Linked DNA regions of Sus scrofa. The protein of the gene in region 6 interacts with the protein of the main gene of each other region in a pairwise test. Links are inferred from orthologs where the notes say so. Each region holds a gene or a part of one and is shown on either strand. Other genes may lie near its edges.

What was found.
Region 1: the proteins of PNMA5 (region 6) and C2H11orf49 interact in binary tests that used the Homo sapiens proteins (3 or more experiments, as listed by UniProt). The two-hybrid records come from large-scale screens. The link is inferred for Sus scrofa from reciprocal best matches to the Homo sapiens genes PNMA5 and CSTPP1.
Region 2: the proteins of PNMA5 (region 6) and TBC1D22B interact in binary tests that used the Homo sapiens proteins (3 or more experiments, as listed by UniProt). The link is inferred for Sus scrofa from reciprocal best matches to the Homo sapiens genes PNMA5 and TBC1D22B.
Region 3: the proteins of PNMA5 (region 6) and ZBTB25 interact in binary tests that used the Homo sapiens proteins (3 or more experiments, as listed by UniProt). The two-hybrid records come from large-scale screens. The link is inferred for Sus scrofa from reciprocal best matches to the Homo sapiens genes PNMA5 and ZBTB25.
Region 4: the proteins of PNMA5 (region 6) and CCDC102B interact in binary tests that used the Homo sapiens proteins (3 or more experiments, as listed by UniProt). The two-hybrid records come from large-scale screens. The link is inferred for Sus scrofa from reciprocal best matches to the Homo sapiens genes PNMA5 and CCDC102B.
Region 5: the proteins of PNMA5 (region 6) and RAD23B interact in binary tests that used the Homo sapiens proteins (3 or more experiments, as listed by UniProt). The two-hybrid records come from large-scale screens. The link is inferred for Sus scrofa from reciprocal best matches to the Homo sapiens genes PNMA5 and RAD23B.
Region 7: the proteins of PNMA5 (region 6) and PRKAA1 interact in binary tests that used the Homo sapiens proteins (3 or more experiments, as listed by UniProt). The two-hybrid records come from large-scale screens. The link is inferred for Sus scrofa from reciprocal best matches to the Homo sapiens genes PNMA5 and PRKAA1.

What each region holds. Positions count from the first base shown.
Region 1 is NC_010444.4:15,558,127-15,561,626, reverse strand, and holds part of C2H11orf49 (UPF0705 protein C11orf49 homolog), read left to right. Parts: intron 1-706; coding exon 707-809; intron 810-3,500. UniProt on the Homo sapiens protein: Regulator of the tubulin polyglutamylase complex (TPGC) that controls cytoskeletal organization, nuclear shape, and cilium disassembly by balancing microtubule and actin assembly.
Region 2 is NC_010449.5:32,866,678-32,870,177, forward strand, and holds part of TBC1D22B (TBC1 domain family member 22B), read left to right. Parts: intron 1-431; coding exon 432-739; intron 740-3,318; coding exon 3,319-3,498; intron 3,499-3,500. UniProt on the Homo sapiens protein: May act as a GTPase-activating protein for Rab family protein(s).
Region 3 is NC_010449.5:88,531,455-88,534,229, forward strand, and holds the end of ZBTB25 (zinc finger and BTB domain-containing protein 25), read right to left. Parts: intron 2,237-2,775; exon of another isoform or gene 1,999-2,236; intron 756-1,998; coding exon 575-755; 3' UTR 501-574; downstream 1-500. Other genes in the region: MTHFD1 (C-1-tetrahydrofolate synthase, cytoplasmic), read left to right, coding at 211-300. UniProt on the Homo sapiens protein: May be involved in transcriptional regulation.
Region 4 is NC_010443.5:153,888,097-153,891,596, reverse strand, and holds part of CCDC102B (coiled-coil domain-containing protein 102B), read left to right. Parts: intron 1-1,936; 5' UTR 1,937-1,952; coding exon 1,953-2,558; intron 2,559-3,500. UniProt on the Homo sapiens protein: During interphase, forms fibers at the proximal ends of centrioles to maintain centrosome cohesion. During mitosis, dissociates from the centrosome following phosphorylation to allow centrosome separation. Contributes to CROCC/rootletin filament formation.
Region 5 is NC_010443.5:248,468,491-248,471,990, forward strand, and holds part of RAD23B (UV excision repair protein RAD23 homolog B), read left to right. Parts: intron 1-112; coding exon 113-381; intron 382-3,500. UniProt on the Homo sapiens protein: Multiubiquitin chain receptor involved in modulation of proteasomal degradation. Binds to polyubiquitin chains.
Region 6 is NC_010461.5:123,997,551-124,001,701, forward strand, and holds PNMA5 (paraneoplastic antigen-like protein 5), read left to right. Parts: upstream 1-1,384; 5' UTR 1,385-1,486; coding exon 1,487-2,797; 3' UTR 2,798-3,651; downstream 3,652-4,151.
Region 7 is NC_010458.4:25,780,682-25,784,675, reverse strand, and holds the start of PRKAA1 (5'-AMP-activated protein kinase catalytic subunit alpha-1), read left to right. Parts: upstream 1-1,194; coding exon 1,195-1,294; intron 1,295-2,524; exon of another isoform or gene 2,525-2,660; intron 2,661-3,994. UniProt on the Homo sapiens protein: Catalytic subunit of AMP-activated protein kinase (AMPK), an energy sensor protein kinase that plays a key role in regulating cellular energy metabolism.

The DNA.
Region 1 (3,500 bases), on a different chromosome or scaffold from region 6:
ATTTCATGCTCTTTATTATTTACCAAAGTTATCACTTACAAACCTTTACTGAAATTTTCATGGTCCTTAAACTTTTTCAGTGGCTTTTTTTTTTTTTTTTTTTTTTTTTTTTTTTTGCCACATCCAAGGCATGCAGAATTTCCCAAGCCAGTGATCAAACCCACACCACAGCAGTGACCAGGGCTGCTGCAGTGACAACACCAGATCCTTAACCCTCTGTGCCACAAGAAAACTCCCAGTGACTTTTTTTTTTAATTAAAGAATTGAGTTTTCTTTGCAATCAAGTCATCCATGTTTCTGGTGTAGAATCACTTTTCCCCTGGGATAAATTTCTGAGACACGCAGAAGTGGAAGAGGATGGAAAGAGATAGGAGATAAGAATGCCCAGGTGCTTCTGCCAAATGATGCTGAAGCACCTCACCCTCATCACTGAAATGAAGAGTGAAGGGTTGATGTTAATACTAACAGCCAGTCAGATGGAGTAGGTCATGTTATATCGTCTCCCATTCTACCCTTTGAGAGTATGTCACTTATTTTGCCAGCAAGTTTTGTTTGCCTATTCCAGTCTACTTCCTATGGCAGAACCAGCATTTTGAGTGACTTTCATGGCCTCCTGCTGGGACTGGGATGATGATTTTTGTTTTGTTTCGTTTTTGGTCTACTTCTCACTCTCTCTTTCTCTCTTGCTTTTTCTTTATTTTTGTAGCCCAGCGACATGTCCTCACATACATGGAAGATGCGGTATGCCAGCTGCTAGAGAACAAGGAAGATATTAGCCAATATGGCATTGCCAGGTTCTTCACTGAATAGTAAGTACGTGAGTGCTTTGCCAGTAGGGCGGGCCCAGAAGAGGCTTTAGGAAGCAGCCAAGATATATGAAAAGTAGAGCAGGGCAATGCTGATTATGTAGTGGCAGTGACTGCTTAGCTTTGGTAGACTGGTTGAGGGCTGCCCAGACATGTTTTGGAACGTGCCTTTGGTGCAGCTAGTTTTGTCCAGTGGTAAGTCTCATGAGTGGACATAACTGCAGAAGCTCGACTGCTGGTTTGAGCTATTAAATCTGTTTCCTTAGGTTCCTCTTATAATTTTTAACTTTTCCCATTATTCGGATAGTCACTCTGATTTCCCTTCGTCATTGTTCCTTTAGTCTATGTTTTTCTTGGCTGATTTTTTTCATGGAAATGCTTCGGATGATATTCCTGTGCAGTTTTCTTTCTACAGGATATTGTGCCAGTCATGTAATGATTTAAGACTATTTCTAGAGGCAGGATACCTTCCATAGATTATATCTTTGAGAAGTTGTACAAATGTAAAATATGCTTGGAATGTGTAAAAGTCAAAGTGATTGTTATTTTCAATTTATTAAAAATGTTTTTTCTGTTTCGTTTTATTTTGTTTTTTGCTTTTTAGGGCCACACCTGCAGCATGTGGAAGCTCCCCTAGCTGCTACAGCTGCTGGCCTGTGCCACAGCCATAGCAATGCAGGATCCGAGCCACATCTGCGACCTATATCACAGCTCACAGCAATGCCAGATCCTGAACCCACTGAGCGAGACCAGGGATCAAACCTGCATCCTCATGGATACCAGTCGGGTTTGTATCTGTTGCACCACAAGGGAAGCTCCTTCACGTTTTATTGAGATGTAATTGACATACAACACTGTGCACATTTAAGCATAGTGATTTGATTTACATGCATCATGAAGTGATTGTCTTTTTTTAGAGCAAGTTTTTTTCCCTTTAATACTCAATTAAATAGATAGTTGTAGGTATAAGTTTTGTATGTACATAAATCTGGCTGAGGTGTTAGTTGGAGGCTGGCTTTCTGGTCCTCCTCATTTTTCTGAGACTCTTTCCCATTTTAAAGTTGACTTTGTCAGGGATAAAGTTTACTAATGACGATGTGTAGTAGGCCAGTGTGGTGCTCAAGAGCTTAATTCCTCTAGGTTTTAGCCCAGAGTTGCTTCAGCTCTCTCTTATGTGTCTTGGATCTCCCATCTAGGACACCACGGGTGCTCAGATCGTCAAATGGCCAGTTCTTATTCATGTCCCTGGTTGAGCTTAATTAACAAATGAGTTTTAATTAATGTTTCCCTGTGGGACCACTGCACATCATGAGGACTCCACCGCCCCCATTAGATCTCTCAGTCACCTGAGAAAACTGTAATCAGCCAGGAGGAGTCTGATCCCTTTTCTTCGGAGCAAACACTCTCATCTAATACCTTCACCTTTATCCCAGCAAATTTCATTACAGCAGATGAATTAAGGAAAAGCATCAGATCAGCCTCTTACCTAAACACTCAGTCCAGACCCCTAAGTCTCTTTCAACTAAGCAAGCTGAGGGTATTTTAGTCATTGGTTTATAGCCATAAGTTGACTAGTCACCTGCGATCTTCCCCAGGGAACTGCCTGATGGCGTTTCAGAGATGTTTCCCATATTGGCTTTATTTTTCCGTAGCTCACAAAACTGAGGTCTAGGTTAGAACCTCTGTCAAAATCTTTCCTAGGTTATCATCAGATGGATTAAATATTCGAGCACAAAACTGAAAGCAAAACTGAATCCTCACCAGCCAAAAGGAAGCCACAGAATTACCAATGGGATCTCCTGAAAGGAAAATCCTCAAATGGGAATCAAAGGTTCTCCAGACAGACAATGTCCAGGGAGCATGCTAAGCGGTTCCAAATTGGCTTCCAAGTCCCACTGAGCCCAGGACCTTAGTCCAAGGGACTCCTTACAAATAGGATCTCCCAAAAAGAAAATTCCCAAATGGGAACCGAAGGTTCCCCAGATGGACAAGATCCAGGGGGCCTCAGAGTGCATGCCAGGGGACTTACCCAGATGCTGGCAGAGGTGTCACAATATCCCAGATGCTACTTTTCTCCTTCCCAAAAAAGTTTCTTGAAGTGGAAAGTTTGGGTTGGCAGCAGAGGGAAAGGAAGGAGATCCCTGCAGGCTGGTGGAGCCTCAGCAGCTGCTAGGGTGGTCCTTGCCTTCCAACCACATTTCCAGCCTAGAGTTCCAACTCCCGAGATGGCCAGTCAGGTCTCTTCGGGGGCCCGGCTCTGTGGCAGGAAACTCTCAGTGATCTGGCCTCCAAAAGAGTCCTCTGTTCACCCAATGGGATACTGGTATGGAGAAAAACTTCAGAGCCTTTGATCAAGCTGAGAGCCCTGAGGGGCCGTCTGCCCATGGCAAATCCCAGACGAGCCCCCAAAATTTGTTGCTGAAGCCTCCGTCTGCTGGTGCCAAATACAAACTCAGAGACAGAATTTTGAGTGAAGGAGGAAAAGATAGCTTTATTGCTTTGCCAGGCAAAGGGGGCCACAGCAGGCCAGTGCTTAAGGACTGTGCCCCCATGAAGTGATTACAATAAGTTTAGTGAACATCTATCATCTCATATAGATACATAATTAAAGAAGTAGAAAAAAATTTTTTTTCTTGTGGAGTTCCCATTGTGGCTCTGCGCGTTAAGAACCCAACTAGTATCTATCAGAATTCA
Region 2 (3,500 bases), on a different chromosome or scaffold from region 6:
CAGGCTCTGCTCCCCATAGTCACTCTTTTTTCCAGCTGAGGGAGGCACCACCCTCTGGAGCCCCTCCAGTGATCACAGTAGAGGAGAGCTTCTGGAGAACTCACACCTGTTCTGTCCCTTGGCTTGGAAGTGACTGCCTCACTTCTCTCCTCAGCGCACTGGCCAGAACCAATCATACAGGCTCACCTGAGCGCAAGGGACTGGGAGGAGTAGAAGGGCACGCGGACTCTTTGGAGAGCACGGTGTCTTAGTTTCGTCTGTCTCTGCAGCATAGGGCTGGCCTGGGTGAGGAATAGATGTGGATATTTTGTGTTTGAAGAAGGTAATGAGTGTGCATGAGACAGTTTGTGATGCTATTGATATTATATTAAGCACTTGATGTTAAGATGTGTCAGACCATTCCCTTGGTAACGGTGTCTCCTTTCTTAAAGCTTCATTAAAGAGCGGTCAAAAGTCAACACGGTTCCTCTGAAGAGTAAGAAGGCTTCCAGTTTTCATGAGTTTGCCCGGAACACCAGCGATGCTTGGGACATTGGCGATGATGAGGAAGAGGACTTTTCCTCCCCTGCTTTCCAAACTGTGAACTCAAAAGTTGCTTTGGCAACTGCCGCCCAAGTGCTAGAAAACCACAGCAAGCTGAGGGTGAAACCAGAACGGTCCCAGTCCACAACATCCGATGTTCCGGCCAGCTACAAGGTCATAAAGTCCAGCAGTGATGCTCAGCTGTCCAGAAATTCCAGTAAGTTCGTCCTGCTCCCCTCCATAGGTTCCACCTTTTCAGCAGAGTAGATTTTAAGTAAAACCAATTTTTCTTTAGAACATCCCTCAGATCTTGCATTGGATGATAAGTAAGCAAGCTCTGGCCTGAGAGGTGATGTCAGGGAACCTAACTGGTCATGAGCTGGCCTTGTTTCTCCCACCCCCACCCAAATGGCTGCCTGGCTCTGGGACCTGGGGCTTCACCTCCTGACACCCACCGTTGCCTGCCATTCTCTTCTTCCTTTCCCTGCGGTGGGGTCCAAACTTTTGTGGTTCGATTGCTTCGCATTGTTTTAGTCCTGGTCAGGTTGAAGAATACCCATGAAATGCAGTTCAAGTTGTTAGTGGCTGAATTTCATACATGTTTGGCTCTGTTGGTTGACCTCCTCAGCTGTGGAGAACAACCACCAGCATTCAGGTTGTCTTTTTCCTGTTCCTGAGGAACAGGGTCCCTGTGTCACAGCTCCCAGCCCACCAGGTTGGGTGGGGCAGGAGGAGGAGGTACCCCTTCTGCTTTTTCTCAGGAAACTGGCAGCAGTAACTGGCTGAGATGATGGTGGTTTTATCAGATGTTTGGGGTTGCTCGGTGTACTCTGTTAAATGTCAGAGTCTTAAATTATTGCTGTATTTAAGGTTGTCCTACAGGGTTTTATGAAAGCCAGTTATTCTGCGCTGAGAGGGAAGGGCCCTCGTCGGAGTGAAAGTTAAAGCAGCTGACTGGTAAAGGCTGAAAGGGACGCAGGAGGTCAGAGCCCTAGAGTGTGTCCCGGCTCACGTTGTGAGAGAGCTGCTTTTACAGTTTTGGACTGAGGCTGTGGTCGTGAAATTAGGCTGTAAGACCCTTTCCGATCATTCCATAGTCCCTTTCCATCACCGATTTGGGCCCCACCTGCACGCTGTGCCCGTTGCAGGCATTCAGGGTCTGTTGACCATGTGGCCATAGCTATAGGCTACAAGAAGTGTCCTCACTCCATGTTTGAGGGTCTCCAGAGGGTCCTAGTATAAGGAAGACCCCACCATGGTCCCTAATGAGCTGCCCTTGTTCAGCCAGACCGCCCAGAACATTCCCGTTATAGGGCTTCTTCCTGTGGACACCTGTCTGTGACTCCTGACTCCGGAGGTGCAGGTCGGCCTCACTCTGTGGTGTGTGGTCTGCGTCTCCCAGGCCCCATGTAGCACCAGGGATCCAAGCCAAGTCCTATGTGGCTCTTGTTCCTGTTAACCTAGTTGTGCTGGCTGAGGAGTGTTCACTGTTTAATTCTTGCTGTGACTACTGCTTTTTAAGGCCCAAATGCCTAAAGAATATGAGTCACGAAAGGACAGTCATGAGTTTTGTTGGGAGTAGTAAAATACAGAAGGGTTTTAGAGTCAGAGCTAAGGTGCTGTCCCAGCTCTCCCCACAGGTTACTTACCTCTCTGAGCTGCAGTTTCCTCCTCTCTAAACCAGTGGGGAACTCCTACCAAGTCTTGTAAGGACCAAATGAGAGGTCATGTGTGGATATGACCAGCATGATTTTTTTTTTTTTTTTTTTAGGGCTGCACTCGCGGCACATGGAGGTTCCCAGGCTAGGGGTCCAGTTGGAGCTGTAGCCACCGGCCTTCGCCAGAGCCACAGCAGCATGGGATCCGAGCCACGTCTGTGACCTACACCACAGCTCACAGCAACACTGGATCCTTAACCCACTGAGCTAGGCCAGGGATTGAACCTGCGTCCTTATGATTCCTAGTCAGATTCATTAACCACTGAGCCACAACGGGAACTCCTAGCATGATTCTTTATGCATATTAAGCGTTCAGTAAATGTCAGTCCTCTGCTCATTTCTCTACCTGCCGTCTAGTTTAGAAGTTTCCAAACCAGACATAGAGTTCAGCTTGAGTCTGTGTTCCTGTTATTTCAATCACATCCCGGCAGAATTAAAAGCTGGCTTTTTTTGGTGAGAAGTGTAGGCGTGCAGAGGAACCGCAGCCACTCAGAGCGGGCCTGCCCCTGGCCAGAGCCTCTGGCCTGGTGTGCAGGGTACATGGTGGGCCAAGAACAGGTGAGAGTTGTGCCAGATGTTGAGCATCTCTGCCCTTGGGGCAGCCGCCTGGGGCGAGCAGCTGCCTCCGTGTGCTGCAGTGTGCTCCACCGTGTCCTTCTTTTCCATGCGCTCTGTGATGTGTGAACGGAAGGCCAGCCCTGCCTTTGACTGCATTGCCCCAAAGAAAAGTTCCAGGTTAGGGTAGAAAGAAAATGATTCATTTTCCCCCGAAGTCACCAAAAACATAGTCAAAGTTGCTACAGCCGCTGTGGTCTCCATTGACACACGAGGCACCTTGGTGTGGACGAGAAAGGGCTCTGACCAACTGCTTCCCTTTCACCCTCTACGAGTCAGCTGCTTTAACGTTCACTCCACTCAGGCCCTGGGCAGGCAAGTGGAGCTGGCTGGGTTTCCATCCCCAGCTGCCCCACATGAGCCCCCTCGGGCAGCGCAGAGCCCGTGCTGAACTGTCAGGTGTGGGGTCTCCCGATCGCCACCTGCACCCAGCCTACTCTCCTTCTCTATCACATTCTCCCAGGTGACACGTGCCTGAGGAACCCACTCCACAAACAGCAGTCACTCCCTCTCCGACCCATCATCCCCCTCGTTGCCCGGATCTCAGACCAGAACGCCTCTGGGGCACCCCCGATGACTGTCCGGGAGAAAACCCGCCTAGAAAAATTCCGCCAGCTTCTCTCCAGCCACAACACTGACTTGGGT
Region 3 (2,775 bases), on a different chromosome or scaffold from region 6:
GCATGTGGTTTGCTGGAGGACTTGGGGGTTTCTCTGAGATCATAACTGGATCAATGACTTGATTTTTAAGATGTAACATGGAGAGTGTCACTTTATAGATAACTCTAAAATAATATTCTGTCTTGGTGCCTTAAGCTTTCTAGCCGAAGGGAAGGTGGGAAAAGAAAGCTGATGTTATGTGTGTTTTTAATACTATTTCACATCTCCTAGATGAGCACCATGCCTGGACTCCCTACCCGGCCCTGTTTCTATGACATCGATTTGGACCCTGAAACTGAGCAGGTGAATGGGCTGTTCTAAACAGGTGAGCTGTTACTGGTGAAAATTTTGCTTTTTTCCCTCATGGGGCATATTTATGAATTATAGGACTCCCAACTAAAACTATGAAAATGTAAATGTAACGCTTGCGGAAGATTCCTTTCCAGACATATCTGAGAGGAGAGGGGGCAGTAATGAGAGTTGGCAGTAACTGATGAATGAAATATTTATATTTCAATATGCTTTTGGAAGAACACAGTTCATCACAGTTTGGCAGTATAGGGGAGAATAAGCTTGGGAGGAACCACAGTGGAGGTTAGAGCTCCTCTGTAGAGCCCCAGGAGGCTCCAGGCTTGGAGTCGATGGCACAGTGGAGGGCAGAGCTCCTCTGTAGAGCCCCAGGAGGCTCCAGGTTTGGAGTCGATGGCACAGTGGAGGCAGGAGCAGAAGATCTGGATACTCTGAATAGAGAGTTAGCCAGAAAGTGAGTAAACGTCCTAGAAAATAGAAAAGGGCCAGTTTAGGAGTTCCCATCATGGCTCAGCGGTTAACCCATCCACCTAGAATCCATGAGGACACGGGGTCAATCCCTGGCCTCGCTCAGTGGGTTAAGGATCTGGTGTTGCCATGAGCTGTGGTGTAGGTTGCAGATGTGGCTCAGATCTTGCATTGCTGTGGCTATGGTGTAGGCCAGCAGCTACAGCTCCGGTTCGACCCCTAGCCTGGGAACCTTCATATGCCACACACGTGGCCCTAAAAAGACAAAAAAAAAAAAAGAAGAAGAAGAAAGGAAAAGGCCAGTTCAGGAGTTCTTGGGCTCTTAAGTGAAGGGCCCCCAAGTACTCATCATAATGAATGAGCCACCCCTGGATATAGCAGGTAAAATTTCAAAACCATCCATGATGAAAATCCTTCTCCAGAGAAGAAAAAAATGACTTGCCTATGGAAAAAAAAAGAGAGAGAGGATTAGACTAAACTGTCTTCTTAGCAGCTGTAAGAGACTTTTAGACAATGGAGGAATGCCCTCCAAGTTCGCAGGGAAAGATGACTTTCCACTTGTATTTACACCCCACCAAACCTATCCAGATGTTTTCAGGCACGTATAGGCTTGCCACCCTCACATCTCTTCCCAGGAAGAGATTTAGCAGTGTACTCCAGCAAAACGAGGACCAAACCAAGAAAAAGGAAGTCATGGTTTTTCAGGAAAACTGTCACTAGAGTCCTGACAACTGCAAGTGACCCAGAGTTACAAATCCAACATGGAACAGGAGGAAGAAGAGGTACTGAGAAAGACTGGAGAGAGCTGGGAAGACAGAGGTGTCGAAATGTAATAATGCAAAACAAAAGCTCTCACGTTAAGGAAGTAGAAGTCCGGGTGGATGCAAACCACAGGCATCATCTATGCAACTGTAAGGATAAGTTGCTCATGGAAGCCACTCTGCTTACAACGCAGAGACGATGTGCTTGATGCTGGAGGAGCAGTGTTGAAGAGACATGTGACCTTGGAAAGGTCCTCCTGGCTCATGATCGGTCTGGCATTGAACAGTATTTACACAGCCATGATGCAAATGCTGGGCATTGTTTTCAGGTCTATGAAAGGCCCTAGAAGAGTTGGCTGTGGGAAAGGATGTCAAGGTTAACAGCTTTGGCGGTGGGAGAGGGTGATGGTGCAGCGTGGAAGGGAAGTATTATTTCAGCACTTAGAGAAAACCTGTATTTCTTGTTTCTTTTCCCTTCCAGATTGTCCAGCTTCAGGAAGCTGCTTTGAAGGTTTGGCCAGTGTTTATTCAGGCCCCCTGTCAGGAAGTGTGGGGAGATCAGAAGTCAGTCCCTGCCCCGAAGATCTTCAGAAATAAGTAGTGGGAGTTTCCCCAGAAGCCTTTCTTCAGTCTTACTTCCCATCATCATGTATAAATTAGCATAAATCACACACATCTTTAATTACTAAATCCATAGAATAAAAGCACATAATTTTGCAGCCCCCGTGTTCAGATGTAAATTGTAGCATTAGCAGACTGTGCTGCCACGTTCTCTGCTGTCCCAGGCGATCCATGCACCAGGCAGACCTCTGGGACTGAAGAAGCAAATTGCGGTCTGTACTTTATGGTACTGTTGTGTTTAAAGGGGAAACTGTGAGTCTCTGTGTATTTCTGGGAACACATGTAATCAGGAGGCCTGAGAGTGTTGAGGGAGAAGTAGAGTTTAGAGGATGTGCCTTTTCATCATATACTTTGCTGTGTTGTTCCATATTTTTTTTCCCCTGGAAAAGTATTGCTTATACAGGTTTTTGTTCTGAACTTCCTTGGAAATTCCTTTTCCTGTCATAGCTTTAGCACCATCCCTTTTTTTTTTTTTTTTTTTTTGGCCACTTATATGGCACATGGGAGTTTCCAGGCCAGGGATTGAACCCATACCACAACAGCAACCCCAGGCCATTGCTGGATCCTTAACCCACTGCACCACAAGGGAACTCACTCACACCATTCATTTTTAAAGTCCTCAGTAAGGATGGTTGCA
Region 4 (3,500 bases), on a different chromosome or scaffold from region 6:
GATAAATTTCAGTTTAATATACTGAAATAAATTTCCTATCTTCATTTTGAAATTTCAACAAAAAGAAATATGTTATTAAGTAGTGAAATATGTAAATATAAATATATAATATTTGGTATGCTTCTAATTAAGAGTTTCTCTTTTTTAAAATACTGGTCTTGGTTTACTAGTGGTCTGAGAAATTTGGTCAGTATATTATTATTGTCACTGAATTACAGTAAATGAAAGGAATAATTGCTCCAAGTCAGCACTAGTTCAAATATGATTTGACATAAACTAATGTTAACAAAAATAATTACAACCATGAATCTATATTATTATATTAAGTATTATAATGAGTGAATTGGTTTGACATCCCTACAGAACACTTACTAAAATGTGTTTTTCCACAGCTGAAAGTGGTATACATTTAATATTATATGGTCTTTTTTCAGTCAATAGCAGTTAACTTAGTTGGTATAATGAAACCCCTTCAGTAGATTAAATGGATGGTTCATAAAAAGACAATTTATGATCTGTAACTCTATAAAAGGAAATGGAAAAAAAATGGGAGTAGTTAATATCATGAAGGTAAAATGTTATCTAAGATCATTTACACCAGAAACTCTTTGATAATAAAAATGGGTAATCTTATACAACCACAGAACTTTATTAATTTGTAGATTAACCTGCATGTTTTGAGAATTTATTTTAAAGAAAATGTTCCACTTGCTAATCCTCAATATAGTTATGTTGCTATATTGAATAAAGTGATGGATGTACATACTGATAAGAAAGGTTTGCATTTACCAATTAATTTGTCTTTGCTATTTATATGGAAAGCTGCTTTTAATTCCTTTTTAAAGCTCTGGAATTACTGAGACTCTTTTCAGTGTTGTCTGTGAAGCTACTTTGTTTCTCTAAAACAGTTCATCACTTCTTTAGCAGTACCCCTTAGTGTATCTTGTACACACCAGTGATATGCCTGTCTCATTCACTGGCCTACGAAATCTTTAAGGACACAGATCATGTCTTATTCATAATATTTTATTTTTAGAACTTAAAATACTAACCACAGTAGGAAGTTAATTTATGTGTCAGATGTCATTTTGACAGCAAGTTACAGAAAACTCAACAGTCATAGCTTAAATAAATTTAGGTAATCATTCTCACACAGCAAGGAAACCAGGGGTATGGATTCTATCTTTCAGGCAGCAGCTCCATCATTACACAAAGCTTTTTTCATTCTTCTGTTTCACTATTTTTAATGTTACAGGGTGGCTGTTACATTTACCTTCTTGCAGAATCTTGTCTTTGATCAGGCAGGAGGAGAGCAGAAATAAAAGTGTTTCTCAGTCTGATGATTTCACATTTTTCTGAATGGGAGACTTCTCTAGCAGACTTCCCCTGACCTCTCATCAGTCCGAACCAGGTCACATGCTGCTTTAAACCTATTTATTATCTATTAGGAATGATGAATTAAATGGAGGTTATCCGAAAGGTTTAGACCAATCATAATTTAGCCCCTGGGATTGGAATAGGAGCTTATCCTTCCAAAGATCAATAGATTCTGCCTTCTACCTGAACAAATTGGGCTTTAGTTAGCAGGGGAAAAGGGACCATTGAGAAGTTAATGGACAATATATGTTGCAATAAATATTACCTGAAAAGAACTGGATATGTTGAAATGAATTATTCATGTCCTATGCTATCCCCCGCTGCATCTTTATATATTATTTGTATTTATTTGGCAAATTTAAATAGGAGAAATCTCTGTTTCTTTGAGGGTAATTACAAATGCAGAAATTCCTCTATATTTTTAGCTACAATGGGAAGGGAAATATACAATATTGAAAAAGACACATTGTTTTCATCAACTTCCTTTTTTAAATGTCGGTCTTGCTCTTATAATTGCAGGGGAAATTCGAATGCAATTATGTTCTCTGTCTTTTCTTAGGCCTGAAAAGATAAATATGAATTTAGATTCCATTCGTCGGTTAATTGAGGAAACACAAATCTTCCAGAGGCAGCAGTCATCAGTTAAACCAGCATGTGACCTGGTGGTGCCTGCCTCATCCCCCAGGGACACCTGTGGTCCCTATTTGCCACTTTATGGGCTGCAATCTCATGCCTATCACAACGTCTGTGCTCACTCATGCAACAGTAATGAATGGGATATTTGTGAGGAGCTTCGACTGCGGGAACTGGAGGAGGTCAAGGCCAGAGCTGCTCAGATGGAGAAGACCATGCGGTGGTGGTCAGACTGCACTGCCAACTGGAGAGAAAAGTGGAGTAAAGTTCGAGCTGAAAGGAACAGTGCCAGGGAGGAAGCAAGACAACTCAGGATAAAATTAGAGATGACCATGAAGGAACTGAGTACTCTGAAAAGGAAGCAAAATTTGTCACCTCAAAAGGAGGCTTTGGAAGCTAGAGTTATTCAGGACCTTAAGCTTCCTGGTTTCAGAGATGTGTCCTCTACACAGAGAGACTCAATTCAAATTGGTTCCAAAACCTGTGAGTCCATCAGAGAGTGTTTGGGAAAAAGAGAATTTCCTACCAAGGAGAACACAAAGAGTAAGGTCAGAAAAAATCCAGAGGAATCCAGAGATTTTTTGAATGCTATAGACAGTAATGAGGAGGGAAAGGAAAATAGCAAAACCAGTGGTTACTGTGTTTGTTTGTGTGGGCTGCCAGAACTAACTGCCCACAGACTGGGGGACTTCAGCAACAGAAATTCATTTTCTCAGAGTTCTAGAGGCTAGAAGTCTGAGGTGGGTCAAGGTGTCAGCAGGGCTAGTTTCCTTGGAGGCCTGTCTCCTTGGCTTACAGATAGCTGTCTTCTCCCTGTGTCTCCATATTGTCTTTGTGCATCTTTGTCCAGATTTCTTCTTCTTTTGTGGATGCCATCACTAGGCCCACACTAATTAAGCTCATCTTAACTTAATTACCTCTTAAAGACCCTATCTCCAAACACAGTCACATCCTGAGATATTTGGAGGGGGTTGGGACCTTAACATATGAATTTTAGGGGAGACACAAGTCAGCCTATGTTACTCATACTTTTAGCCAAAATTAACCCAGCATTTTTTAATGTTAAAAGAAAATATTTATGGAGATTTCTCTCCATTTACTCTAGTAAACCATTACTAAGAAATTATCCGTACAGTAGTTTAAACCTTTCCTGAAGGTTGGGACTCTGTCCTCACAATTAATCACTCAAAGATAGGTAACTTAGGCAAATATCTTTAGGGACTGCTTCACACTACCTACTCTTGGAATTTCTTGGTATACTTGAATCTTGAAGTTTCTGAGATTTCTGCACACAATAAAAAATTTTAAAACTTTAATCTAGCAGTTCATACACTTATCTATCAATGAAACACCCCTCCTCCCATATATATATATCTACAACTCATGGAATATACATTTGGAAACTAGGAATTTGTGTTCGCTCTTCAAGTAGAATTAGTTTATATTATTACCTCTTTCTAGTTAATTCTACCTCTACAACCATAAATCAA
Region 5 (3,500 bases), on a different chromosome or scaffold from region 6:
ATTTTCAAGTAACAAATTTGTATTAGTGTTACATTTGTTTGTAGCTTTCAGAGATCATGTCATAATGTAATATTTTGTCATAATGCATTATTTTACTTTGTAATATATTTAGCCCAAAGCAGTGACAACACCAGCACCGGCTACAACTCAGCAATCAAATTCTGCCACCACTACCACAGTTAGTTCCTCCACAGCACCAGCTGCGGCTCAGGCCCCAACCCCAGCCCCTGCTTTGGCTCCTACTCCCACTCCTGCATCCATCACCCCAGCATCAACGACAGCATCTTCTGAACCTGCACCTGCTAGTGCAACGAAACAAGAGAAACCTGCAGAAAAGCCAGCAGAAACACCAGTGGCTACTAGCCCAACATCAACTGACAGGTAAGAACTGGGTGTTAGGAAGTTGTATCTTGGAATATGTTCAGTATAAGAACTTCATGAATTTATTTTGATTGTTTTTTTTTTTTTTTTTTTTTTTTTTGGTCAAACTAACTTTCTGTCTACTATGTTAAACATTTTCTAAACTCTGAACTCCTGACTGACTAAAACATTATGCCTCTGTTTAAATTTCCATAATCTAGATTTATATACTCTGCATCATTTCCCCTGCCGCCCTCCCCCTGCCCCCTGGAGGGAAAAGAGAAAAAGGGTCAGAGTTGTTATTCATTTCATATACAAAAGTTAGGAAATGACCAAAAAAAGAAGTATATGAGTTCCCCTGTGCCTCAGTGGGTTAAGGATCCAGTGTTGTCACAGCAATAACATGTGTTCAGTCCCTGGCCTGGGAACTGCTGCATGCCACCAGTGTGGCCAAAAAAAGGAAAGAGGAATTATGACATTATATTATAGCTTGGCATAAATAACTTGACATCATCCCCCAGTCATTATTTATATTGATCTATATTATTTCTGACCATTGTCGTGTATATATATATATATATATATATATAAAATAAACATCCTTCTATGTCAGAATTTTTCCATCTGCTACATAGTTTTGTGTTTGGGGATGACATTTGTTAGATCTTAGGAAAGAAATTAATATCTTTGGATTTTCTTCTTCGTCTGTAAAATGTGGATATCAGCAGGACTTACTTCATGGAGTTGTTCTAAGGATTAAATAATAAGTATGAAAGATGTGAAGTAGCGCATGGCACACAGTAAATGCTGAGTATATTTTTTTGTGAACTTGTGTAGAAATTTATGTTTTTGCCCATGTAGCTCTTCAGAAACAAAAGAAAAAGTGCTGGGACATTTTGGGAACAAGAAATAAGTTCTTGTGGGAAGGTGGCAGTTAGGATTATTGAGTAATTTATGACAAAGATTTTTTCCCCCTAATGATAAATAAAATAACCAAAGCAAATGCTTCAGTTCTCCTGGCTGGAAATCGTACAGGGGAATCTCTTCTATCTGAGAGCATGAATTGTATTCTTTCCAGAGTGAGCTGGCACCGAAGCTGTTTGTGTTTTATGGCTTTGGTGTAGCACAGGACCTCAATGGCAGTAAAGTCCTGGAATCAGAACCAGACATAGTGGAAAACTATGCAGCAGTTGGAAACATGGACACAGAAGGATGTCTGTGATAAATACACCAATCAAAAAACTTCAGTCACGATCCTTCATTTTAGTGTTTTGCCTTTGAGTGAGGTTGCGTCAGCTTTGTTGAGAGGGGTTTGAGTCACCTGGTTCATTGCTCACTCAGGCCTCTTTTCAAGGAATTAATTGCCTAAGAGGAGAACACGGATTCAGGTGATAAAATATTTTCCCTGTGTCTGCCTGCTGCACTTTGCTTTAGGCATTCTGAGACACCATTGCCTAACTTGATACTTCTTGCAGGTACAGCTAGAAATGCACACAACACTAATTACCTAGGGGGAGACAACCCAGGGTCAGGTTATGCTATTACATCAAAAGGCTATTACATTTGTTCTGTGTCTGGGAGGGAACTTATAAATTTAGCAAATTGGTTTTCCAAATCATTTAAATATTGTAAACTTAATTAAATATGTCGAGTTGGTTCAGTATATCTTCTTTTCTTTAAGCTCCTGTTAAAAACCTCATATCATGAGAATTCCTGAATTGATCAATACCTTTTAATGTGCTAATAGCATCAATTCGGTTATCATCTCTTATTTCTTATTGAGGGTTCAGTTTTATTTACCTGTTCTCAAGCATCATGAACCTTTTCAGACCTATAGAGGTTGCATAAGGGAGTTGATGATCAGGAAAGCAGACTGCAGAGTTGCCTCCTTACTTGAGCTTTGTACACCATCCCTTTACTCTTATTCCCCAGAGTTATACACCTCAGAGAAGGATAGCACAGGAAGGGAAGGATGAAGGAAGCTCAGAAAACTAGCTGCTTAAATGTACCTTAGTCACTTCATTTGTGCTGTAAAACATTTAATGTCTTGTAAAGCACAGAACTCAATGAGACATGCCAATGTGAATTTGAGGAGTGTCAAGAAGTTTTTTTTACCACCTGGCCTGACATTTCATTGTTAGGGATTTGTTTCTCTAGGTCAGTTTTGTCTTTAAAAACCACCTATTACAATGCAGATTTCACTTGTTGATATCTGTGTTAGAGAAACTGCACTTTTTTGCACTAGGGCTGTATTGTTTGTAATTGAAGACAAATTGGAATCAACCTAAAGATCCACTAATAAGGGAATGGCTTGATTTTGTGATTTGTTCATATTGGGGAATTGTGCTATTATTCATAGTGTGGTAGTAAACAAACAGTATCAACATCACAGGGAGTTTGATGTTTGAAATTAATTCTTAGGCTCCCTAGAATTATCTGGGGTAGGTCCCAGAAGTCTGAATTTTAACAATCTCTCTTGGTGAATTCTTAAGCTTTCTAAAGTTTGAAGAGCTCTGATATCCAGTAATAGAAGGCAGTTAAAGTATGCAGTACATATTTCAAGGCTTTGTTACCAAGTGAAAAAAGCAGATTTGCAGAACAATACAGGCAGTAACCCTAAACCAAACAAAAGCCACATAACATCATTGCATATTTTCTGTGGTTAAGCATATTAATATGTAGAAAAACAGTAGCAGAGGGACAGCACACTAACTGATAAAGTGGTTTCCTCCGCGGACAGGGAAGGGAGAAGTATTGAGGCAAAAGAATCAAGATTGAAGAATGGTGGTTAAACATCATTTCAGTCTTATCTGTAATGTTTTAAAAGAAATTCTAAAACAAAGTGCAAAAATAGCACAAATTTTCTATAAAAGAACAGTAATGAAGGGGACTATTTCTGTGAGATAGAATTAATTATTAGTACTATACATGGTGATGATTACAACTTAGAATGGCTTTTGGAGTTCCCGTCATGGCGCAGTGGTTAACGAATCCGACTAGGAATCATGAGGTTGCGGGTTCGGTCCCTGCCCTTGCTCAGTGGGTTAATGATCCGGCATTGCCGTGAGCTGTGGTGTAGGTTGCAGACGCGGCTCGGATCCCACGTTGCTGTGGCTCTGGCGTAGGCCAATGGCTACAGC
Region 6 (4,151 bases):
GGGTGGGGCTGGGGTGGGGATGGGACATGGGAAGAAATGAGAGTTGGTGGGAGCAGGGGTCTAACTTCCGTGGCGGTGGGGCTTGGTGTGAGGGGTTGAGCTTAGGTGGGGTGGAGCTTAAGATGGAGTTTGTGCCTCAGTAGGAGTGGGACTTGGCAGTGAGTTTGAGATCCGGGTGGAACTGAGGAAAGGTAATAACCTGCCCTAGCACTGAGTACCAGTTGAGCAGTTTCTTGTATTCCAGTACCAGAATACTTGTGGGCACCTCTGTATATAGAATTGGCATAGGCAGAGCAGCAGCATGTCAGCCAGAACCATAGCAAAATACCTGTGCTTGGCCTTGGACAGATCCAGTGAAGCAGTACCCACCACCCCAGGACCAGAAACTGCCTGACTGGCCAGATCCCCAGGGCAGGCCTAGTGTTGAGTGCGGGTGAAATCCCCTCATCTGCACTGTGAATGGGTCCCTAATCAGATGGTAAATAGCTGGGAGGTGGGCCTGTGTTGCAGAGGCTTCTGTAACCCTGATGAAAAGCAGGAGGGGCGGGGTTGCCTGCCTGCCAAGGGTCTGGCAGAGTAAGGTCAAAGCCAGGGTGAGCATTGTCTGTTTCCTACGGTGTGGTACTGGAGACCCTTTTGGAGTCCCTTTTCTGTCCTTGCTTCTAGCTTCTACACAGTTTGAAACTAAGTTCTTTTTCAGTACTTGATCCTTGCTGCCCACCCCCCCCCATTCCCCTCCCTCTTCATGGGTTGGAGGCCAGTGACATCACCTGTTGCTCCTTAGCCTTTCCGCATGACACCCCCTGTGAAACCCGTAGTCCACATGCTTCATCCATGGCAACACTGCAGCTTGTCACACGTTCTCCATACCCACCAGCTTCAATGCCCTGTGCAGCGCTCCAGCCATCTTTCTCCTTTGTCAGGCATATCCTGAGAAAGGAGGGAACGCCACATCTCTGTCCTCTAAACTTTGCCCCAGCAGTAAGGGTACCAGGTGCCCTGGGCCTGCACAGCCCCGAGCCAGGGAGTGGGACAGCCTCTGGTCTTCTCCTAGTTGGAGAGCTTTGAAAGTGTTCCCAGGCATTAGGCCCCACCTCCTGAGGCTGGATTTTTCACTGCAGGCACTTCCAGCACAGACAGTAGGGTCTTCGGACTTTGAGGACGAACCCACGGCAAGCAGAGGTCAGCAGGGAAAGAGTGAGGTGGGGGGAGCTTGGCCTGCAGAGACCCCTCCACCAAATGACTGGGGGAGCCCTGTGAGGCAGAGAATGAGGTTCTGTGAGTGGAAGTGGGGGCAGAGGAGGGGCTTTTGGTGGGGATGGGAGGGTGGCCATTAATGATGCTCTCACCCCATTCACATTATAGGCTGTGGAAACCCAGGACGATTCTGCCTTCATATTTGGCCTTGACTTGCCTGAGTCCTGATCAAACTCTGTGAGCTGGTCCCTGCACCTGGTATTAGATCAGTTCATAGAAAGTGGGAGCAATGGCTGTGACACTGTTGGAGGATTGGTGCAAGGGGATGGACCTGGACCCCAGGAAGGCCCTGCTGATTGTGGGGATCCCCGTGGAGTGCAGTGAGGCTGAAATTAAAGAGACCGTGAAGGCAGGCTTACATCCCCTGTGCACCTACAGGGTGCTGGGCAGAATGTTCAGAAGGGAAGATAATGCTAAGGCAGTTTTCATTGAGTTGGCTGATACTGTCAATTATGCTATGATTCCCAGAGAGATACCAGGAAAGGGAGGTGCCTGGGAAGTGGTTGTGAAACCCCGCAGCTCAGATGATGAGTTTATGAATAGACTCAACTACTTCCTGAAAGACGAGGGCCGGAGAATGGTAGATGTGGCCAAGACCCTGGGATATAGCACTCCCACTGAGGGCATGGAGCCAGAGGCCTCGGATCAGGTCAGGTCACCAGCCTTGCAGCCTCTGAAAGAAAATGTGTGGTACCGAAAACTCAGAGTGTTTTCGGGAAGCACTTTCCCAGGCCCAGACGAAGACAGCTTTGAAGGCTGGCTGGAGCACGTCACTGAGTTGATGCAACTCTGGCAGGTGTCAGAGGTCGAGAAGAGGCGCCGTCTGCTGGAGAGCCTTCGCGGCTCTGCCCTATCTGTCGTGCGGGTGCTCCGGGCCAATGATGAATCTATGACCGTGGAGCAGTGTCTGGACGCCCTGAAGCAAATTTTTGGGACTAAAGAGGACTGCAGAACCTCACAATTTAAGTTCCTCCAGACCTTCCAGAAATCGGGAGAGAAAATCTCTAGTTTTTTGCTACGGTTAGAGCCCCTGCTGCAGAAAGCCGTGCAAAATAGCCCCTTGTCCGTGAGAAGCACAGACATGATTCGCCTGAAACACATCCTGGCTCGGTCCTGCATGAGCACCAGCCTCCGGGCCAAGTTAGAGCTCCTGGATCAGCGAGGTCGTGCTCCCACTTTCCTCGAGTTAATGCAGGTCATTCGAGATGAAGAGGAGTGGGAGGCCACCATGGGCCTGACGAAGGAGAGGCAAGTGGGGAGGGGCCGCAGGGCCTCCGGCAGGCCGGTGCTGGTGGAAGCCAGTGTCCCAATGCCTCAGGTCGTGGTGCAGACGGGGCCCTTTAACGAGAGCAGCACTCAGACCATCCAGGAAGGGATTAGCCTGTCCCTGAAGCGCAGGCGCATGTCATGCTGCTACGGTAGTGGGGAGGGAGGCCACAGCCAGGCAGCATGTCCTAGCGTGGAGAACCAAGCTCCAGCAAACAGAAGCCTCAGTTTGCAGCAGCAGAGTCGGGAAACGAGATGGGGGCTGGGGCAATGAGCCACCCCGAGCCCTAGGAAGCGTAGGCTCAGTACTCCAGGCACCCCTTCCCCTAGCAGGCAACTAAAATATTTTAATGAGATGAAGGAGCAGCCCACACCAAGAGCGGGGGACTTGAGGGGGAGAGAGTGGCAGGGCAGCCAGGCCCAGGCCGAGCCCCCTTGTCTTCTGCCAGCTCAGAGGGGCTCTACCAACCAAGCCCCATGCAGCCCAGTGAGGGCCAGTCAGCACAGGGCCTGGGAGAGGCACTGGCAATGCAAGCAGGGGGCCAGCACACTCGGCAGGTGGGGTGGCCAAGCCTCGGAGAGAGACCCCAAGGCAGAAGAGGCTGAAGAAGGTGTGGTGGGGGGCTCCGGCATGGACCCTGGCATCTGGCCACTCCTTAATGCCCAGAGGGTAGGCTCTGAGCTGATGAAGCTGATGGGCCCCCAGGCCATGTGGGGCCCAGGGGAGCCTCCCCCGGGGCCAGCCCTTCTGGAAGGAGCCAGCGCTGGTGAGGAAGAGCTGTGGGGCGGAGAAGAGATGCCCCGGAGGGGAGCCCGCAGGGTCCAGCCCGTCTTCAGGATCATCTACACCGCTCTAGGGGAGCCCCAGGAAGGCAGCACCCTGGAGCCTCTGCGCAAGTGAGGGGAGGAGACCCAGAGGCCCTGGGAGCCCAGCACCAGCCTACAGGCAGCCTCCTCCCCCTTAAGCTGGAAGGGCTGTGGGGACAAGGTCAGCAAAGTCTGTGCGGAGAAGGTCTCCGTGTCAGAGGCTCAGCTTGAGAGGCAGGGTGCAGGGTACCCTAGTGGGCACAGCTGCTTTGGTGCGAGTGGGTGTGCAAGCGCAAGGAAACTTTAGTTCCCAAGCAGGAGCAGGAGGGAGAGGGCGGGGAAAGAGGACGGGGAGGAGGAAGAGGAGGGGTGGGAGAGTGGAGGAGAAGATGCAGGAGGAGAAGGAAGAAGAGGGAGGAGGATGTAGAAAGAGGAGGAGGGACAAGGAGGGGAGGAGACGGGAAGGAGGAGAGAGGATTGGTGGGTGGGAGGGAGGGGCGTTTGGTTCGGTTTGATGTCTGTGCCGCTGGAGACCTGGGACTGGCCTGGCAAATCACCACTCACCAGCTGCCTATGCCAAAGTCAGCCCCAAAGCCTGCAACCCAGGCAGCCAGCCTAGGTGAGGGGCACCCGAAGACGCCTGCCACCCACACTGGCCCCGGAGACCTTAGGGGCCGTGTCAAGGTGCCTGGGCCTCCCTGTGCTGGGAGCCCACCTGTGTCTCTGTAGCCCCTCGTGACCCACGTATCAAGGCACCCCGCTCCCTGCTCCCCTCCCCTCCAAACACGCACTGACCTTGGTTCCCCTGCAGAGCCCTGAGG
Region 7 (3,994 bases), on a different chromosome or scaffold from region 6:
AAAATCAGAAGAGCTGAGTAACTTTCATTGGGATGGAAAAAGAACATCTTTTCCTTTTTTATATTTTTTCATGAAGAGTCCAACTCTTTGTCCATTGACACTGGCCCAAATGCTATGACCCGGCAGAACTGAGATCACATAAACTGGTTTTTGTTTTGGTTGACACTTGACTTCGCCCATGTTAGAGTAATAATTTACAATTATTTACACTCACTTAAAAACTCTATTACAAATACGCATACTTTCTCTACTTCCCCTGTGATATGCCATGACCCCATTGTATAAACTCTTACTCACTGGAAGTACAATAAATATTTGTTGATTGATTTGGTTGATGCAACTGTAAGCTTTGTTTTCAGTTCAAGGTCTACATTTTACTGATAATCTTAAAATATTAATTGCTATACATCAGAACGTGTTGGGTAACATCCTGCTTCCCAGACACACACACACACATTCACCCTTATCCCCAACTCGCTCCTTCCAATAGAGCTTGTTGCGGGGAGGACACTGCGGGAGAGAATCCAGTAGAAGGAAAGACCCACAATGCTGCTTGAGCTGTCGAGGTGCCCAAACAGCAACTTACTGGCGCAAAGTAAAAAAAAGACCAGCAGGGGTGGGGATGTAGTGGAAGAAGAGGGAACTTCATCAAAGATGCAACTGACAACTCCTAGAGGCTTCTAGATTCCATCCGAACAGGAAAAATTAAAGGTTAGAAAGCAGTGGCAGGGCGGTGTCCCCTGCCATGTTTTAATCCACTAGTAACAAGCCCGGAGCAGACTTCTCCAGTGTTCTTGAAGAGCGGGCCCCCCAAACCAAGAGCGGTAATTAGGCGAGACCACTGCGGGCAGAGACGCCGCCTAAGCAGAAGGAGCAGAAGAGCTGCTGCCCTCCTCAGAAAGCCAGGAAGCCCCCTCCCGCGCGCAGGTGGGATGGAGCCCCAGGCCTCGAGGACGCAGGGCGAGGAAAGGGGTACCGGTGCCCCTCCTAGCGACCCTTGCCTGCCCCGCCAGGGGGAGCGTCTGCGCGCTTCTGTTGGCTGACGGGACCCAGCAAGCGACGTAGGGCGGCGGCTCGGCGGCGCGGCTCCCCTCCCGCGTCCCCACCCCCTCCCCGCCCGCCCCCGGCGCGGCCCTGCCCGCCCCCTCCGCCCCCTCCCGCGGCGCCATGCGCAGACTCAGTTCCTGGAGAAAGATGGCGACAGCCGAGAAGCAGAAACACGACGGGCGGGTGAAAATCGGCCACTACATCCTGGGGGACACGCTGGGGGTCGGGACCTTCGGCAAAGTGAAGGGTGAGGACCCCCAGGGCAAGAGGCGGCCCCGGCCCGGGATCCGAACGACTTCCGCCTTTCGCACCTCTTCATCCTCCCCCGCCCCTTGCGTTCCTCGTCTCCCGGGCTCGGCAGCGCCTGTCCTGACTCGGAGGGAGCGGAGCCCGAGGCCGCCGCGGGACTGCGGCGCGGCGCCCCCAGGCTGGGTGGGGGTGGGGTGGGGACTGGTCGCCGTGGCGACGGTGCCGCGGCTGGAGAAGCTCGTCAGTGCAAGGGGCGGGGATGCGGAGGTGCGAACTTTCCCAGGCCCGGCTATCCCGGGCTGCGCGCTGCGCTCCTGGTGGTGGGTGGGGGTCCTGGGGTCTTGGCCGGGAACCCCGGGGAGGCGGCCTAGCCTTCGTCCCAGCTGTGCTCCCTGGGCTCAGGGCCAGCCCATCGCTTTTCTGGCCATCCTCGGCATTGTCCGTATTTCCGTCCTCTTTAGGAGGCTCTTGGCTTACCTGCCCTGGCTTATTCTCAAGTATGAAATGTGTCCCCCCCCCCCCCCCGCCCAAATAAGGTTGCTTTAAGGGTAGTTTGCAGAATTAAGAAAATCAAAGAGGCCATGTCGTCGGAAAGGATCATTAAATTTTTTCGGAGCAGTAAATAAGTATAAACCAGTCTTATATGTGTTTGCGATCCATGGCTTATGGTCTGAATGCAGACTCCACGCCTTCAGTGTTTCTGAATTAACAGTTTTGCGGTCTCTGGCCAAACCTGGTAGGCAGTGCAGATTTTGCCTCCAGATAACGTTTATAAATTCATTGATGCTGTTCGTCTCCTTCTATTATCACAGGCTATTTCCATTTTAATAAATAGTTTAGCACACATCATTTGAAAACCAATTTTTAAGAAAAGTGGAGTCGCTTACCTTTGTGTCGACAGACTATTTTGGAAATAACAAACTTGCTCTTCAGTCCACCAATTCTGGCACAAAAAGTTTAATTGCAAATTTTGTGAGGCATAAATATTTTTTCTTCAAAATATTTGACTTTGAAATTAGAGATGTAGAGAAGAGGACGGAAGTATGAAACTGATAAAAATAATTCATGCATTGGCTTTGGATAAATAATAGCCTATGACTTACATATACAAGCTCTTGGTAAATATTTGATTTGAAAGAGAAAAAAGTTTGTGAAAGTCTGTACAGTGAATTAACTAACTGAGCCTTGCTCTATCAGAGCTAAATAAACATTTTCTGGTTTTACCTAGGGATGGAAGAGGAGAGAGCCCTTTCTTCTCTTGCCCTTTCTGAGTCATAGAACTGGAAAATTGCTGTAGAGCCCACAGGGAAGCAACTGCCTAAACCTTCTTAAGAAAATCAGCAAGGCCAACAATGTAAGAGAAAGTAAGAAGCAAATGCCAGAATAGGGTACTATTTACAGCCATGAGGGTGGGTCTGTGTTAGGCCAGTAAGATGTTTCTGTGCCCTGGAAGTTATTTATTTTTGGCGATATTGTCTCTTTATTTGTTAGCAATTATAGACTGCTTTCAGTTTGCAGGTATTTGTAAGAAATACTCATTAACACCTTCAAAATAGTAATGGCAGTCTTGATGCTTTCACCCTTACTCAGAGTTCTCCTTGGATCAGGATGCTCATCATTTTCCTAATATAGACCTGAGCAGAGTCGGGTCTGGCAGATAGGAAAACATGGGGGTATTTTTGCATTTTCTGGATTTGATCTATGATGTGGCTGTGACATGAAGCTCTCCAATGACTGCTTTTCCTTAACCTTCGCTCCTCCACATGTACCTCTCTTGAAATACCACAAACTGTCAAAGTCAACAATCTCTCCAAATATGGAAAGTCCAGTATTAGTCAAAGGATTGTGGGTTTCATAGAAATGGTTACATTTGTTCATAAATACATTAATTGATGGTGGTCAAAATCCTCAACCAGTGCATTTTTAAAATTGTTAAACAGATGGGATGCTTTTTGTCCCAAATAATAGAAAATCCAACTCATCCTAGCCAAGAACATTTCTTTCTGTAATTATCTGTCCAGAGTAAGGAAGCCCAGCGTAGCCCTCATGAGTCTCATTGGTCATTCAGTCCCTGTGGCCAGGGACACATGTGTTAACTGACTTAGGCTTGTGTTCCTATAAGTACGTACTGACAAGGGAGTTGGCATTAACCTTGGAGGAATGTGGGCTACTCTTGGATGTGTGTATGGGGGCATCTTCTTCTGAAGTACTTGAATAATATGAGGGGACAGGGTGGAATATGTACACAGCAGTGGGTATTTTTGGAAGAAAGAGGGACATGATTCTTGGTGAGCAGGCAGAAATAGCTACTTGTGGTGATGTTGATAACATAGTTTTTGATAAGAATTTGACAAGAGTTCTTATAAATTATATGATTAGTCATAAATGGCGACAGATTGAGGAGATACAGCTTTTAGAATTAGTCATACACATTGGTGAATTTAACAGAAGAAAATGTAATAGAAGATGTGATATTGATATGCAGAAAAGTTCCCAATATGATATTCCATCTTAGAGGAAACTTAAGGGACAGGGTGGCAGGCAGAGAGGACTGTACATCCCTAGGGATTATTTTGTACTTGTTACAAGGTAAAAAAAAAAAAAAAAAAAAAAAAAAAAAAAAAAAAAAATCCTTTGGTAATTTGGTGGTAACATTTTGAGGGAAAACTTTAAATAGACAACTAGGGTTAATTTAGGA